Linked DNA regions of Coturnix japonica. The protein of the gene in region 1 purifies or fractionates together with the protein of each later gene. This does not show direct contact. Links are inferred from orthologs where the notes say so. Each region holds a gene or a part of one and is shown in the gene's direction. Other genes may lie near its edges.

Region 1 (9,429 bases):
GGAAATGAGTATGGAGATGACGATGGGATCATGGTTAAAGGGCTGAAATGATATTGCATCATCAGATGAAACACTTAACAATTTTGGCAGTTTCTGCTTTGATGCAGCTACTTAAAAACAAAACAGACTGCAACAGCAACAAAAGGGGAAGTTCAGAGAGGAACCCAATTTGCTGTTCTTTCACCTTTTTCATTTTATTATTTTTTTAGTCGTGTTTGAGACTTTTATTAGGTTCAAGTTGAGTTTTTTCACAGCTCCTCCCAGAATCTCTGAACTGTTTCAAGTCCAGTTTTTCCAGGAAAGTGTGATATACATCGTGCCAGTGGAAAACAGAGAATTTTTGTTTAGTAAGGAAATGTAACATGGGCTCTGGTCAAGTTTTTCATTTTCTGGGACTACTGAGAGCATGTTACATCTATCACCCACACCAGAACGAAGCCACCAGTCTTTTTTCCTTTCTTCCCTGAGTGTTGAGTTTTGGCAGATTAAACAGTGTGAGAAGGTACTTGGGTGATGTTTGTATGCCACAAAGGAACTGAAAATATTCCATGATAAAGGATATGTTTTAGTTTGTAGTTGTTTGTTTGTTTTTCCCTTACCTGCTAAGATGAATAAAGTAAAAGATCTAACACTGTGATTATTTAGAAGTAAATAAAGAAATTAATTCAAAAGCTGTTTTTTGGAAGTTGGTATTTGAGAGCTTTGGAAACAGCTTTAAGTCCAAAAATAAAAACAACCCCACAGTTATGAAAATATTGACTATACAAATCATTAGTAAAAGTTGACTTGAAAACATCATAGAAAAAGGAAAGAACTAAATGCCATCCTTATTTTACACACCAAACTACTGAGCCAGTGCTGCAGCTACCGCCACCAAAAGAAAAAGTAAGTATCCTTAGTAAAGATATATTTTACAGCTAGTAAAGCCAAGAGGGACTTGCATGGTGAGCTATCCTATGGTGCCTAGCATGTGGCCATGAGCTTGGTTCTGCTGGCTGTCCACCCAACATATCTCTGGTTCACAGTGTCACCTCTGCTTCATTCGTGTTCACAGTGATGAGTGTCAGAAACTGTATCTCCATCAGACATTTTCCTGTGTAGTTATCTGCATACTCATTTCAGGAAAAAGAGATGAGAGAGGTCAGATTGTACATTACTCAACAGTATAGGTATCTAAAAGAGCAACAAGTGAGATTAAGATGTGACCTGTCATGTACTCAGGATGAATTCTCTTCACAGTATGATTTCTGATGCATTAAACAACAATGAAACTGTAGAACACTGGAGTCTGATAGGCTGAAACATGAAAAAATGTTGAAGCTGCAGGGCATAAGATCACTGATCTGCAAACTCTAACTAGAAGGAGCTGTGGAAGCAACCTTTTTTTCCTATGTCAGCCATTAGTCAATGGCCAAATAAAGCCATAAATCTTTTCCTGATTAAGCAGATGAGATGAAAGTAATTCCAGAGGCAAGAGAAACAGTTTGCTCTTTTTATTCTACTTTTGTTAAATCTGATCAATGTGTAAAGAAGAAACAGAGAATGTTCAGCACACCGCAGTCTTACAGTTTGCCCAGAACACTGTCAAGTCTAGATCCACAGCTCTGTCATTTCATCTTCCCTGTATTGCTGTCCTCCTGTGAGTCACAAACCTTGTGCTACAGAAGTCTTCATTATCACAGATCTTTCCAGACCACTGTAGCCCCTCAAGTCTCCAAGAAGGCATAGTCCTTCATAGAGCCACTCACATTTTCACTCATGCACGTATTCTTCCTGCCAATAAAAGCAGCAAGAATTAAAAATAGTCATTTTAGTAGTAATTTAATCTAATCTACAGATCTGATCCTGGCAGAGGCACCAGTGCAGTTCTGAAGAGAGAATCATTAATCAAGTATGGAGATCTAAACGATTGGCTTTAAAGTGAGAATCGCAATATTTGATGTAGTTATGTGCCCTTTGCTCTTGACCAATGCTTTCTTAGCAGCACCCACTCCAACCTGCCATTGCCCTCTGCTGGAAGAGTCCTGTTTTCACAGACTTCCAATGTGTCCAGTAAGATTTTACACTCATTTCTAAAACATTTGTGTTTGTTTTTTTTTTTTCTGATCTACCCTAATCTGCCCAGTGACTCCTTAATTTAGAACCATAGAATAGTTTGGTTGAAAGGGACTTTTAAAGATTGTTTATTTCCAACCTCTTCTTCCATGGCAGGGCACATCTTCTACACAATTAGGTTGGTAAAACTAGATTAGGCCTTTCCTAAGCTCCATCTCAATTTAGAGGTCATGTGGCAGGTAAAGGCGAGCAGTCAGCACCGCTGAGGGAATTATCTATACAGATATATGATTCTTTAAAATTACAAAGATGTTTCCCAAGTGATGCTGTTGAGGTCATATAGTCTCCCAGAGTAGAAATAGGTTTGTAACTTAATTATGCAAAAGCAGAAGATGTTCATATTGAGGAAGGCTGGGCTTTCAGTTTAAAACCATTTCTCTCCTCCTCATAATAAGTTCCCTCCAGGTACTGGGAGGCCACAATGAGATCTCCCTGGAGCCTTCTCTTTTCCCTCAGCTATTCTTTGTATGAGAGGTATGCCAGGCTTCTGGGATTCATTAATACTGCAGAATGCTTTCTGCAGTCGTTTACCACTGGGACGCTGCAGGATTTCTGCCTTGCCCAACCACCCCAGCTTTATTTGAATCTAATTATATATCAACACTGAAGATTCTGATGTGGCTTACTGAACAACGTGGCCCTTCCCTGCACAACCCTTTTGACCATTTCCTTAAAATTCAATTTAAGGAAATAAAATTTCCTTAAATTTCAATAATGTTCTGACGAATTACAGTTGTTGCTATGTGCTGTCACACCACACTCCAACAACAGCCCCATAGACCCTCAGCATTTGTGATGTGGGTCAGTGCTTCGGGCTGGATCTGGCCAACTCCTGTGAGCAAATACACATTGAGACTTGAGAACACGGGTTGGGAAGCCAGATTTTAAAGGGAAATCGCATGTATTGTGTATTCGGGTCCGTGGCACACAGACTGGAAGTTGCCGGGTTGAGGCACCAAGTGCTACCGGCAGAGCAGGCCGCACCCGGCGCCATGACGACACGGACCCAACCGGAAGTGAAGCCGGCAGTATCCCCACACCAACTGCGCATGCTCACACTACCGGTGCGCGGAGGCTGATGGGAGGCGCTCCGTGCGGGTTTGCGAGTGAGTGGCAACTAGGCGGACCAGTGAAATTGAGAATCGGACGGAAGTCCCGCCTACAAGCGGGGGGGGGCATTGTTGTGGGTGACGTCACGGCCGGGGGATGCTGGAGCCCCATTGGCTGTGGCCGCGCTGCCGAGCGCTGGGCTCTTAAAGGGCGACTGGAGCGCGGGCCGCGCCGGCCGGGCGGGTCCATGGCGAGCACCAGCAGCCACCTGGTAAGTGAGGGACGGACGGAGGGAGTGGGTGAGTGCGGGCCGCGGGGCTGCACGGCGCCCGGCTCGGAGTGTTGGCGGCCGCTGCGCGCTGCGGAAGGACTAGGCCCGAGCGCCGGGCCCGGCCCAGCCCGGCCGTGAGGGGGCGGGCCGCCCGCGTCCTACACGCTGCCGGGCGGTGGGATCACGGAGGGCTTTTGGAGCGGCCCTGCTGCTCGCTGTCTGTAAGCAGAGCTGCCGGCACAGCGCCGCACTGCGCGGGACCGGCCTGCGTGCCGCCGCCGCTCCCTGCCTCCATTCCTCGCTTCCCGGAGGTGGGGCGGGCGGTGGTTGCGGTCGTTCCCTTCTCCCCGGCGCTGGTGGGGCCCTGTGAGGCGATGGGCGCCCGAGCTCGGCCCGGCCTTGCGGGGAAGCAGAGCTGGGCACGGGCTGCTCGCGGCCTCTCGCTGAACGCTGAGCTCCGTTCCGGGTACAGGACACTGGCGTGGCTCCGCTGGGCCGCCTCCTCCTTGTGCGGCCTCTGCCCCTGCAACGAGGGAACCGCCTGCGTGCTCGGTAATGCGCTTCTTATGTAGCAAAAACAACCGAACGTAAAACATGTCAGTGTGACCCAGGGTGATGCTGGAACACACTTTCAGGCAGTTGTTTACGTTCGTCTGAGATTGTCAAACTCTTCCATTTTGTGAGCGCTGCTTAATGTGTGGAGTTGAAGCTGATCAGTAGAGGTTAAAAATGGTAAATCTTACTTTGCCTTGTAGATTACATGACATAGTGAATGCGGAAATTCCTTTATAAAAACGGTAGGACTTTTTAACGTGTTTTGTTTTTTCTTAACAGTAACGACCAGCGTTTAGTGATGTCAGAGTAACTAACTGATACCAATGCATCCCTTATATGTATGTGTGGATGCTGCTGTGCTTTCAAGTCAGGTGGTCTTTCAAGTGGTTCACTTCTCATTGCTTCTGAGAGCTGCTGAGCTCTGCTCTGGAGCAGCCTTTTTCATCTGAAATTAGTTGAGGTGGATCTGCACAGTCTGGTGTAGCTGTGTTAATTCTCAAAGTCTTGTTTTGTAGCGTGCTCTACTCTTTGTACGTAGTGATTTATTTTTTTTTAAGGGTGTTACATTTGGTTGTATGTATTGGCTGGAAATGAAAGTTGATATGTGGAACAGCCCAACAGGGGAGGCCTTGGAATACTGCATGGAGGGTTATGAAATGAACTTATGTTCTGTTACCAAAAGAATTAGTTTTGCACTTCTGCCATTTGATATAGCTCCATATGGCTGTTTATTGCTGTTAGAGAAGACTTATGTTTGCATGAATCTGCTTAAACAGGGAGAATGCTTCCCTTTGTGAATCTGTCCTTACTCATTGATCTTCCGTTTGTTTTTTCCCCTCCAAATACTTCTGTTTCTTTTCCTTTTCTGTGTACAGTTCATATCCCTGTAAGGGATGCGTGCCAAGAGAATGAATGAAAAAACTAAATTGACTATTGCTTTTTGTTTAAAATATATATATGTGTGTGTATATGTGTGTGTGTATATATATATGTATATATATTCAGAGTAACTTAATTTCAGTTCCTTCTCTTCCACCTTGTCTAACATCTCTCTGCCCGGATGAGTGTACTGACTGGTTAATGATAAAAAGGAGTGACTGTAGATATTTCTGTTTCTTACATAGGATGTGTTGGTAGCTGTTGGCAATTCAGACATAATCTGAACGTAATAGCAATGGTCAACTAAATCCAGTGTGTGGGTAGGTTTGTTTTAGTTCATTTTTTGTTAAGCCAGACATTCTTTGGGTAATTTGGTCTGTCTTAAAGTGCTAGAAGCAGTATCTGTTTCATAGAGCTGCTGTAACTGTGCAAGTAGGTTGTGCTGAACCTTCTGAAACACGCTGCAACCTTGGGCTCATGGTGCTACTATAAAGCTGATCAGCTGAAAGTGAGCATTGATGGAAGTCTTGGGAAGTGATGCTGACTGCTGAAGTACAGGCAGGAGTTCTGCCACACCAAACCAGGAGTGCTGTCGCTGTTACAGACTGAGAAAGCTCGTACATTTTCAAACAGTAGGAATAAATTTATCTATGAAGATGTGAAATAATTTCGAGATCTGTTTTCCAGCACTGAATTTGTCTTAGTTTTCTTATAGAAAGTCTGTCTGAATTGCTATAAAACTACCATGTTTAACCTCCGAATGACTTTATCTGAGGCCATACTTTTAAATATGGGAAGAATAAAACGCTATTCAGAAGACAGTTAAGAAGACAAAATCCTTCTCTAGGTTCCTCATGGTGGAGCTTTCTAAAGGATTTGTACAAAAGGAATTACTGTGATATTTCTGGGAAAACTTTTTGCATGTTACCAGGTTAGATTATGTACACATGGATTAAAAAAAATGTGTGGGCAGGAGGCGCTGAATTCCTTCCCCTCCCTCCCTTTTTGACACCTTATTTGCAGGTAAGGTTGTGGAAAGTTACCGATGTCTGGGAAAGGACTGATCACAACATGCAGTTACATTGACATTGAAGCTTTTTCTGTGTTAAATAAATAATTATAAATGCTTCGCTTGGCAAATATTCTGTTATTCTTTATAGTAGCAGATTGCGAGGATTAACTTGCTTAGCACATTCTTCTGAAAAGAAAGTATTACATTTGATGTTCAGTTCTTTAGCAATTGTGGGAATTTATTGCAGCTCTTGATTGCGCTGTCCAGCCTTTGTGTGTTCTGTCTACTTATTCCACTTCCCCAGGGCTACTTCTCTGTTCTTCATTCATGACTGCTGTCTCTCCCTCCTAAATCGTAGCACTGCCATCAGGGAACCTTGTGCAGGAAGTTCTTTTGTGTTTATTAGCAACTTTATCCATGGTGCACAACACCCCTAGTATTGGGGTACTCGGTCAGGTCATGCAGAATGTGATCTAGATTTCTTGCTGTTCCAGATGGCTTCTTGTGAACTGGGCTGGATCGGTTTGCATGAAGTTGAATTCTCGGTGGCTTGTTTTCATTTATAGCTATTTGGGCCATAGGCTGACTTCAGGTTCTTAGAGATTTTTGTGGTTTCCTGTTTCTGATCTGTTTTGAGGCTTGGGGGTGCAGGCAGAGGTTTGAGCGGATGGTCTTTGAGTAGTCTCTTCCCCTTAAGAATCTGTGTACCATCTATTTATTGCAAATCCTTTCATTAACTTTAATCCTCACCTGAACTTGGAATTGGAATTTTGTAAATTAGGGGCAGAAAATACCACGGTGTATATAAGGCTGTTATGTTTAGAGAAAGCCATTTGCATGAACTGTAGTGTTTGGGACAGCATTGCTGTATACGTAATAAACTCATTGCTGTGAAAACAGTCTTGTAGATAATATAGCTTTATTCTCTAAATGAAAAATCAAATGAGTCCAACAATGTAGAAGTGTTCCTTGTTCTTCCAGATTCTATTCTATTGACTGTACTTCTGCTGATTCTACGTGAATCCAATTTCCTCTTTATTCACTTATCGATGAAGTGTGATGTAGATCTGCTACAGAAAGTAAAGGTCTGCTGGTATGTGATCAGATGAATTATGAAGGAGGCAAGTGTGAGAGCTGAGCTTTGTGCTTTGAGATGGCTTTCATATGAACACTATGGTATGTCTCCCCAGACTTAAAAATGCTTCTTTGTATACCATGAACTTCCTGAGAATGTGCATCCAGAAAACCAAAGAAAAATCAATTAATTTGATTCTTCACAATTATTCTTCTTGTTTGTTATGGGTATATGACTCCCAGTGTTATCTTCAAGCATGAGGAAGAAACCTGCTGTGAAGGTGGTGGTTGTGTTGTTTTAAGCAATCTAATCATGTCTTAAATTAATGCAAGGCCTGTAAAATGTTGTTCCTCTCATTCTCATCGGTTATTGCAGCATAGTATTATGTGGGATTTAGCCAGGGCTTGATACATTTGTTCTTGAAGTAGCTACTGTATCTTTGGAGAATAACAGGTACTCTCAGCAGTGCCTGTTACTGTATTTTTTCCTTGGGTCTGTTAATACATCATGCAGGCTACATTGTATGAATTTCTGTTCATGGTTCTGTTTCCCACTGTTGTGGAGGTCAGGCCAGTTGAGGTAGAACAGAAGAATTCTCTTTTCTGTGCTTGCCACTTCACTAACGCTTAATCTTGAAATGTATTATCAGGACCCAATTGTTAAAGTTGTTGCTCTTTTCTTTCAACCAGTGCCATTTCTGTTAGTACATCTTGTTAGAATTTTCTTACTGTTTTTTTGGGGGGGAGCTGGTTTTGTGCAGTGCTTCAGTCCATGCTCACCTTCTGCTGTTAGAGAGGTTTCAAGTGACGCTGCATGAAGATGGGCATAACTGTGTGTGGGTAGGTCAGATTTGTTTAATCAGGTGGTCGACATAACAGTCTGGTCAAATGACCAAAAAGAAACAAAAAAGTAGCCCACACTTTATATTACAGTGCTTTTGAAAAGTTGCGTGGCTATTCATAAAAACAGTGTGCTTATAAACTCAGAACTCCTGAGATCAAAAAATTTCACTCCAGATGGGATGACTTGTCCTCAGATCCTTTTTCAGAACTAAGCTGTAGTAAGGTTCCTGTTGTAATTGAAATGGAAACTTTCAGTCTGAGCTTTTAAATGTATTTATCAGTAGCCATTTATGAGTATTCAAAACAAACTCGATCAGAATGTATGGGTTTTGACAGATAGCTTGGCTTTAAGCAGTTCTGTTGGCTACTAGTTTGTTTCTTCAAGGCAGATGGGGCTGATGGACAATTCTTGGGGTTATAAGCTGGATGTCAAGTTTTGTTAATATTTACATGTTGTTTGAACAGTTGCTGATGCCGCTCTGTACAGCATAACACCAAACACTAATCTTCTCTAATAATGGTGTGTGTTTAATGCTTTATTTTATTACTACAAGTAATTAACACTTGGCGTTGGGTTTGTTTTTTGAAGTGATTGTCTTACAATGTTTCTCAAAGTGTTTTTTGTAGAAAAACCGTCATGTTGTCCAGACAAAGTATCTTTAGCATCTTTGTAACCTAGCACAGTTTCTAATGAGTGCCTAATTTGCTAGGCTTTTTAAAAAATGGCTTTGTATAGTACCTAAAGGCAGTTGATGCTGTTTTTGTTTCAAAACAAACGTTTGGTGTGCCTTCCTTATCAGACTTTTTGATGAGGTGCTTTAACTCCATGCTTTGAGCTCGTTTCTATGCAGAGAAATAAGGAATGGCGCTGGGAATGGTATTATTTAATGTCTTTGTAGGCAACGTGAACAGTGGGATTGAATGCACCCTCAGCAGGTTTTCAGATGACACTGAGCTGGGTGGTGCAGTTGACATGCTAGCAAGAAGGGATGCTATTCAGAGGGACCAGGGCAGAGTTGAGAGATGAGCCTGTGCCAACCTTATGGAATTCAACAAGGTCAAGTGCAAGAGCAATTCCAAGGATGGATACAGATTGGGCAGAGAATGACTTGAAAGCAGCTCTGAGGAGAAGGACATGAGCCAGCAGTGTGTGCTTGCAGCCCTGAAGACCAACCATATCCTGGATTACATTAAGAGAAGTTTGACCAGAAGGTGAAGGGGGGTGATTCTGTGCTACTATTCTGCTCCTGTGAGACCCCACCAGGAGTAGCGTCCAGTTCTGCAGCCTGCAGCACAAGAAGACAGTTGAGCTGTTGGAGTGGGCCCAGAAGAGGGCCACGAAGATGATCAGAGGGCTGTAGCACCACCTCCCTTATGAGTTGATGCTGGGAGACCTGGAGTTCTTCAGCCTGGAAAAGAGAAGTCTCCAGGGGGGGCTTAAGTGGCCTTCCAGCACCTGAAGGGGGCTTACAGGAAAGATGATGAACTTTTAAAGAGCATGTAGCAACAGGACTAGAGGAAATGGTTTTAAACTGGAATAGGGTAGATTTAGACTAGACAACAAGGAATAAATTATTTAATTTGAGGATAGTGATCTGCTGGAACAGGTTGTGGGTGCTCCCTCCCTGGA
Region 2 (8,805 bases), on another chromosome or scaffold:
CTTATCTGTTTTCCAGAGAGCAGATTTGACCTCTGATAAAGATTTATACCTGGACAACAGCTCTGTTGAAGAGGCATCAGGCGTCTATCCCATCGATGATGATGATTATTCTTCTGGGTCGGGTTCAGGTGAGACAACGTGTCACAATTTGATTTTACAGTGTGTAAGAAGCCACTTGTGGAAAGCTGTGCAGTTTTCCTTTGTGAGCAAGAGATGGTGCTTTCAGTGAGTATGATCAGCACTCTATTTACAGAGCACTGAGCACCCTTGAGGCCTGAGTTTTAAATATTAACCTTCTGCTCTTACTCCTTAGTTGCATCATTTCACTTCTCCCCACTCTGTTTTATTTTCTCTTTGCTCTCTCTTTTTGTAGATCTCTCTGGAGTTTAGAAGTTAGGATTAGAGAAAGCTTTACTTCTCCTTTGGCATGATGCTAATTTAGCAGTCTGTGTGAAATCATAGCAGCGGTAATCTCATTTTCTCTCATATTCTTTCAGGTTCATGTAAACGTAACGTCCATTTATTTTTGTTGTTGTTTTTCTTTTAAATTTAGAAGTCTGGAAACTGCCAAATACATGACAGTTTTCTCTGAGGTAATTACATCCGCATAGAAGCTAAATAAATTCATAAACATAACATACTGAATTCTCAGACTTAAACACTCATTAGATGCGTGTAGCAAGCTCGTCATTTTTCAAGAAACTGACAGGGAAGCCTCATTAATCATTTCTCTTAGAAAGCCCTCATTGTGGAATGTCTTTTAGACTAACTGGGAGACTCCAAGCAGTAAAATCTAAGTGCGGGATTGTGTGCCTGTTCTGAAAGAGGCGTTTCCTTATTGCTGTCAGTATTTGCTGAGCTGTTGTGGAAGACTCCATTATTTACCCAGTGTTACTTCCTTGTTTGTTGTTGCTCGTCTTGTAATCTGTCTTGTGATGTTTATACATACCTCTGTGAATTCTAAAAGGTTGAGCTCTTCTTTTGTAGCAGCTTGTCTTTGTTACTGTTGTAACCCACAGCTTTCTCAGGTAGATTTTTGGTTTGCCTGTTCTTTGGAGGCTCAAAGATATGTTACAATTATGTCATCAGAGGGTTTGTTGTTTTTTTTTCTTTCAGACAAATTCAGGCCTATTGGCCACTGGCATCTGGGTGATAACATGTGGGGCTTTTTTTAAGCCTGTCATGGGATGGATTTGTTGTTCCACTATGATCAGAGGCTAAAACAGAACTACCTGTGCAGACTACTCTGATAGAAAATTTCAGATATAATTTGAGAGGAAAAAAAAAAAAAAAGAAAAGAAAAAAAGAATGTATTCAATGGTTTCTCACAGTTCCAAGGACCATCTAAATAAAATTCTGATCTCTGAGAAAATTGCACTCTCAGTCAGCATCTCGTTTTATTGTGTCTTTGGGTGCTTTTGTAAGCCTCAAAAAAGGAGTTAGGTTGACCGTGAACTGTCGTATGGAGAATGGTCTATTTTCTTTTTTCTTCACCCCTCTGTGGCATTTGAGCAGTTTCTAACGTGGATGATTCAAAACACAGTCCTTCTTTTGAAGATGAGTTATACAAGAACAGGCTTCAGACTTCCTTAACCCATCTCAATGCTTCCAAGTGGAACCCAAAGGACAGAATGTACCACTAGACCTCACCCACAGCAGTATCTTTGTCTTTTGCCTTTTCCTGCGTTGAGCCTTGAGTCATGGATAGAAGACGGAGTGTATAACTCACCAAGAAATGCAAGTACCTCATTCAGCCCTTGGCAATCACCACCTCTTACCTAAGAGAAAGTAAATTAAAAAAAAAAGGAGTCTCATAGACTGGGACTGTTTAGATGCCCCTCTAGATATTTCACATGACAGTACAAGAATCTAATTCTTTTGAACAAAGGAAGAAGTCTTAAGTTCAATACTTTCCTGGGCAATGTACAACCTAGTTTTATTCACTTACAGAAAAGAATAATCTCCAGAGGGAAGCGAATCAGCATCCCCTTTTCTCCTTCTCATCCTCACAGCCTACACGAGGTACAAAGTGTCCTCTGGTTGTAGCAGTGATGAATTTTCCTCATACTGTGTTAAATGTGTCTCTCTCTACTTGATACTCAGTGATGTAATGTTCCTAGCTGCAAGAGACTTCCTACTCGAGTGGTTTTCTTGCTATGTAATTCTACTCTAAGCAAACAGATCCAAGATGACAACATGCTGACTCCTTTCCTTGGTATGAAAATTATTAGCTGCCACCAGGCCTATGGAGATAAACAGAAATTGTCAGCACCACTGTTACTGCCCTTGCAGGTTTGCAGGCAGCATTAACGTGGACAAATGTCAGTGTGAGCATGACACATTTCAAACTGAAAATTGGCTGAGGGCTTTTTCTAAGACCAAAAAAGGTGATGGTTTTCTGCTTTTCTTTTTCCCCCCTTTTTTCCTTCATTTTAGCTTAGTTTCATAGCCTCTTTATTCTTTATGTACATTCGTATTAATTTACCCAACTGTTCCATCATAAAATCATAAAATATCCCACATTGGAAGGGATGCACAGTGATAATCAAGTCCAGTTCCCCACTCTACGCAAGACCACTCCAAATTCCAACCCACTGTCTGAGCTGTGTCCAAACGCTCCCTGAACTCCAGCACTCGGGGCTGTGCCCACTGCCCTGTGCAGCCCATTCCATCCCACCACCCTCTGGTGCAGACCCTGTCCCTCACCCCCAGCCCCTCTCCTGTCTTCACTCCATGCCATTCCCTCGGGCCCTGTCGCTGTCACACAGAGCAGAGCTCAGCGCTGCCCCTCAGCTCCCAGTCAGGAGCTGCAGCCGCCATCAGGCCTCCATCAGCTCCTCTGCTCTGGGCTGCACAAACACAGGGACCACAGCTGCTGCTGTTTCATTCATCTTTCCCTGTAGGCCCTTCACCATCTTTCTTGCTCTCCTTTGGATGCTTTTTAATTAGTTTAAAAGATTTTCTGCTTAGACACAACTTGAAATGTAACCACTTCTGTTTTCAGCTCTGGCATGAAAGGTCTTAACTGAACCCTGGTCTTCTCTCCCTGCCCAGTAATTCTCAGTGCTCCTGCCCCAGGTGACTGTCCCTGACAGCATCCCAGGAGAGTGGCATGCTGTTTCCCAGTGTGTTTATTGTCTCTGGGTGCAAGTGATACTGCAGGTATTCATTTCCCCACTTCCCAAGTTCCCACTTAATGTGCCTTTTGGGTTGGATTGGAGCCAGGGCTTCTTCCATCCCCTTGCTACACCAGCCTTGAACATACTTCGCAACACTGACCGCCTGCTTCTCCAAGACCTTTAGCACAGAAAGCTACTGTGATATATCTTGTTTATGAGTATGCTTTTATTGTGCTGGGCACAACCTTGTACTCCAGTATAGTTAAGACTCTTCCTTTTATTCTTTCAAGTCTGACGCTATTTTATTATTTTCCTTTCCTTCCTCCTATGAGAGTTAACAGAGACAGGATATTTATGCATAACCTCCATTTATTTCATCTGCAGTTCCCTCATAGAATGTTAGTATGGTCATGGTGTGGTCCCTGATTGTACAACACTGTGTTGATTAAGAGTTGGGCTGGAAGTTTTTTGTGTGAGCTGGAGTGAGATAAGCCAGCTGCAAGTGTTTAGGTCAGGTATGTGCCACTCTGTTGATAGAGATGGAAGGTGTGAGATAGATGCTGGGTCTGTGCATACTCACCTTTTGCCAGGCTTGTTTCTGGTGGCAGTACTTCCAGAGGAAGTTGTCCAACAGCAAACAGATGATGCCAAAAGATAGCATGAAATGACTCTGGTAGGAAGAGTTAATCACTGGCTACTTGGCAAATTAAGAGTGCTAACTACCATGGGCTTGTACAGTAACATAAGCTGACACAGTCTTGATTTGCTGGCAAGTTTCCTCAAGCAGCAGGAGTGTGAAGGCGCACCTATCTGTGCTGCAGTTATCTGTGGGGCAGCTAATAATAGGCACATCACTGAGGACTATATAATATATTTCCACACCACAATCTAGTGCTATTGTGAGCACTGTGCAGATAACAGTTGGGAGTCCTGAAGAAATTGCAATGGATAAAAGACATTGTGATGGTAGAGAGATCTCCATTCTTTGCTCTGGACATGGGTATGGATTTAATTATTGTAGAGTTCTTGTGATGCGCTCAGTAAGAAGGCTGTATCCACTTGTAGTGTCTTAAGGCAATTAATGCCCAGAGCCATCTCTAAGCTGACCAGTTCCAGAAACCTAAATCACAACTATTGCCTGAAGCAAAGGTGACATTTAAAGATTTGGAGGAATGGTTTTTATTAAATGAGATTTGCCATTTCACAGAAAGAGGGGAGGAAAAAATGAAGTTCTTATACTCTCAAAGTCTGCTTTATCAGATCTTTAATCTGATCATCAGTTTTAATTTCCTTGACTGTGAAAGTCTTGTGTAATTTGCAGAAACTTTGACAGGTAAAGCAGGCTGAACTATCCATAGAACTCTTTATTTCTCAAAGAAAGCTCTTGAGGCAAAGACAGGAAAATGTTCCTGTTGGGTATCTTTCCTCAGCAGTGTTTTACAGCAGGATGGGTTTTTTTTTTCTTTTGATCTTTGAGTAGTATTTCTGGAAAACAATTGGCTCATGTTGTGAGGTCTTTCTGGAACAGTTGCATTGTAATTTCAGTATCTCTGGATGGTTCTCCAGTATTATTTCTGTGCCGGCAGTTTTCATACACTGCTTTTTTTTTAATTGTTTCAGTTTTACCTTTCTATCACACAGGAGTTGTCATAGCTATTGCCTTGTTAACAGCCTTTCTTTCAAATCCAAATGTATATAATTCTTGATCACGAGTTCAAAGCTTGTTTTTGTGCTTCATCTTTCAGCTTGTTTTCTCTCTCTAGAAAAATAAGATAAAAGCCGGTTTGGAATGACTGAGTCATACTGTTCTGTTGTAAGATATATTCCTATTTGTTAGGGATTACTTTTAAGAACATTTTCTAGATGTATTACCCAATAGTTATTTGGGCAACCGGTGTCTGCAATGAGCAGAACACATATTGAGATTCCCGGGAAGCGGATAGATCTATTATTTTCATCTCTCAGACCTTGCAATAATTTAGTCTATTGTCTGTCTCATCTGCCTCCCAGTATCACTAAAGGATATTTATTAGACGTATCCATTATCTTATTATAAAGGAGCCTTCATACTCCAACAGAGCTTTGAATGTGGAGGAAATGAAACGTAAGGTCTTCTTTAGGGATTTTTTTTGTCCTCTTAGCCTGCATTTAAAAAGAAAAAAGCTTTTGAATTATGCGAGGTTTAAAAACACGTGTATTCCTAGTGACTGAAGTATAAAATAGCAGCATTTCTGTAGATGGCAGCTACTTGTTTTCTTTATAGTTAAGAGTCTATTGGGTTTACTCTAGAGAAGTGATTTTTTTTGTTGTTATTGGAACAGTTTGTCACAGGGAAAATCTGTGCAGTTCACATAGCAAAAGTCAAATCGGCATTGGAGAGGTGTATTGACTGATTTATAACATGTAATTAACTGGCAATCATTGAACTATATGCTAAGAGTTAGTATCAGCCATACAAGTGATAACCACAGCATCAGCCACTTGAAAACAATACTGTGCAGCTACAGATTTCCAAGCCTCTTCTGCAGCTGATCCCAGTGCATCCCACATGCACATGCAGACTTGGATGCACACTCACATCTCCCTTGCAGGCCCAGAAGCATGCAAGCCCCCTCATCTGGGCACACAGGACCACTACCCATATGTCCTTGCTGTGTCTCTAAGGTGCTGCTCCCCGTGGTGGCCATGGGAGAGTTGGAGGTGGCTGCTGGATTACAGGGCCACATCCGACGCAGTTGTACTGGCTTCCACTCCAGAGTCTATTTTACTTCTATTTTAACAGGCATTGTTTTCTGGGCCATTTACCAAGGGTGGGCCATACGAGCACCCTACCCTCAGCATTGTAACAACAAGTGAAACTCTTCCAGACTTATTACAATGTCAATGAAATGTTGTCTGTTTTGCCTTCAGGTGCTGAGGAAGATGAGGACAGCACAGTGACAACAACATCCAGAATAGTTCCAAAGTTACCAACAACTAGTGATGCGTCTAGAGCTGAGACCACCACAGTGAAAATGCAGACCAAGATGCCTGCACAAACACAGGTACGTGGGTAGAGAGCAACACTGTTCCAAATAGTTCTTCTGCACCTCATTGTTGCCTTGATTTTATATATGAATTGCAAAAAGCATTTGGACATTTTTTATTAAATATTACTGCAACAATTTAAATGGATACAGAGCTGTTCAGTTTTCTGTTAGAAAGTCTGTGTATGACATCTTGTGAAAGAAGAGAAACATGTAAAACATGTATTTTTTGTTTAATGAAGAAAACAATTTTTAATAATAAGTTTGAATCTGAGCCATACCCTTCTTTTATGTCTTTCAAAGAGTTATTCAAAAGTCCTCCTTTCTGAAAGGAACATTTTGTTTGGTTTGGCTGTAGTTTGAATACTTTGTAGGTTCCATTTAGCATTTTGGTGTTTTCTGCTGTCACTGCAGGTGATGTTTTGCTCAGTTATCCTCAGCGGTGTTCTGAATATAGCATATTTGATGTGTTAATTGCAGAATTGTTATTCCGGTCAGAGGCTGTAATTCCTATTATACACAGGCAGTGTTTACTAGCTGATTGCTAAATATATTTTGGGGAGCTCTTGAAACTCCGGACAGTGATTTTTCATTCCATCACGATGAGGATTAGTTCCATTTTCAATATCTAGGACAGCTTTCTGTTCTCAAAAAGCATCCCATGTGTTGTGACTGTCATGGGATGCTTTTTGACCACAGAATATTGTGAAGCACGCCTGTGGGGCTGCCACAGTTCTGTGGCTGCCCGTGGCTGGCAGTGACAATGCAGTTCTGTGGTGATCCTGTCTGTAAGGGCTGTTTTTCTTTCTGTGCCACAGTCACCTGAAGAAATTGATAAAGAGGAAAGACCCGAGGTGGATTCCAAGAAAAAGAGCAATGAGCCAGGGGATGACACTGATGTGTTCACTGAAAAGCATTCCGAAAACCTCTTCCAGAGGACAGAAGTTCTGGCAGGTAAGGGTAGTTTGCCAAGGGTTCACCACCTCACCAGAAAAGGAACAAAGAATATAAAAGGCATTCACATCAAATAGCACAAACTCAACGTCTGTGTTTTCTTGTTGGGTTCTTGACACGTTTGGAGGGGAGTAGTCAGTGGTTGATTTGATGAGACTGAGACTGGCAATTTCTTTAATACCAAAAGCTGTTGCTAATTGATTTGACACCCACAAACTGAATACTCCCTACAGAGTAGCTGGAGCTTCCACAGCTCAGAAAAGGAGTTGCAACTTGGATTGATGCTTGTAGTGCAGAAAAGTATTTCACACCCACTCTCCTAGGAGCACAGCGTGGTCTAGTACAGATAGAACAGAGGTGCTCACAGCAGGGATGGGTGGGTGGAGAGGGATGTAAAGGGCCCATTTCTGTGTATGACCCAGGGAGGAAAAGGCTGGCCTCCTTTTATTTTTTCCCCAGTAGCTTTTCTACATGTGATTCATGTGATTTTTTTCTTCTTTTCCTTCTTTCTTTTTTCATGGTGTAAGACCTGTGCTTACTAACATACCTTCCTCCCACCTCCCGGGAGGGGTTGTTGGGAGCCATGGGTGGGAGTGTTAAATCACACAGTTTTGGACTTTATCTCCCCCAGAGCACTGAAACGTGAAACAGCATTTGTATCCACATCAGCAGAAACATTCGGGTTTGCTCTTCAAGTCCAGCTGGAGGTGTTAGTTTCTACACTCTAGCAAGTACATGATGAATGTAGTGTCTCTACTGCAGCTCCATGAAATGTTCTCTCCTATTACTCATCAATAGGGAGTCACTGAGTGAACACATGGAGAAATGGGATAACACATTTTTTAGCTGGTGCAACAGAGTAGTTCTTCTAAGGCTAAAAACATCAACTGCTGGAAAATCAGCTTGAAAAGCTTTTACATTTTAGTATTAAAAGTGAATTACAACTTTATGCTCTGGCAATATTGGCAGTTTTATTAGTCAAGCTTTTGATAATTTATTTAGAACCATGGGTTGCTGGATCACTTGCTTGCAGGTGAAATGCACTCCTAAATGATTCCCTCCATTAGAATAAACAGGGTTTCTCAGAATACAAATCAGGCTGCTCATCCTCAAGACAGTTGCAGAAAATAATGGCAAGCTGGTTGCGCGAGGTGAAAAAGATAGGTGGTTCCAGACCCGTTCTTCTGGCACATTGTGAATTTCTTTTTCTTTGCTTACAGCTGTTATTGCTGGCGGAGTTATTGGTTTTCTGTTTGCAATCTTCCTCATCCTGCTGCTGGTATATCGCATGAGAAAGAAGGATGAAGGCAGTTACGACCTTGGTGAACGTAAACCATCTAGTGCTGCCTATCAGAAGGCACCTACTAAGGAGTTTTATGCATAAAATTCCTACTTAGTGTCTCTATTTATGAGATCACTGAACTTTTTTAAATAAAGCTTTTGCATAGAATAATGAAGATCTTTTTTTTTTTTTTTTTTTTTTTTTTTTTCATTAAAGAGCCATCACGGCACCTTTATGATAAAATCCCATTGTATTTAAAACTTTACACGTATTCCTTTAAAAATGTAAAATTAAAACTTAACACTTGCAGCGTTCTGTGGATAACAGTGGCAAAGCATTTATTTTATAAGAACCATTGGTGTTCAACCGAATCATTTTTAAAACTTGATGCATAAATATAATGAAAACGATTGCTTTATCCTAT

Evidence for each region.
Region 2: the proteins of PDPK1 (region 1) and SDC2 purify together in Homo sapiens (affinity purification with mass spectrometry; 4 studies listed by BioGRID and IntAct, counting the BioPlex papers as one, with this or other methods). This does not show direct contact. The link is inferred for Coturnix japonica from reciprocal best matches to the Homo sapiens genes PDPK1 and SDC2.

What each region holds. Positions count from the first base shown.
Region 1 is NC_029529.1:7,222,959-7,232,387, forward strand, and holds the start of PDPK1 (3-phosphoinositide-dependent protein kinase 1), read left to right. Parts: upstream 1-3,302; 5' UTR 3,303-3,412; coding exon 3,413-3,436; intron 3,437-3,699; exon of another isoform or gene 3,700-3,988; intron 3,989-9,429. UniProt on the Homo sapiens protein: Serine/threonine kinase which acts as a master kinase, phosphorylating and activating a subgroup of the AGC family of protein kinases.
Region 2 is NC_029517.1:114,977,429-114,986,233, forward strand, and holds part of SDC2 (syndecan-2), read left to right. Parts: intron 1-16; coding exon 17-128; intron 129-6,029; coding exon 6,030-6,163; intron 6,164-6,963; coding exon 6,964-7,099; intron 7,100-8,319; coding exon 8,320-8,483; 3' UTR 8,484-8,805. UniProt on the Homo sapiens protein: Cell surface proteoglycan which regulates dendritic arbor morphogenesis.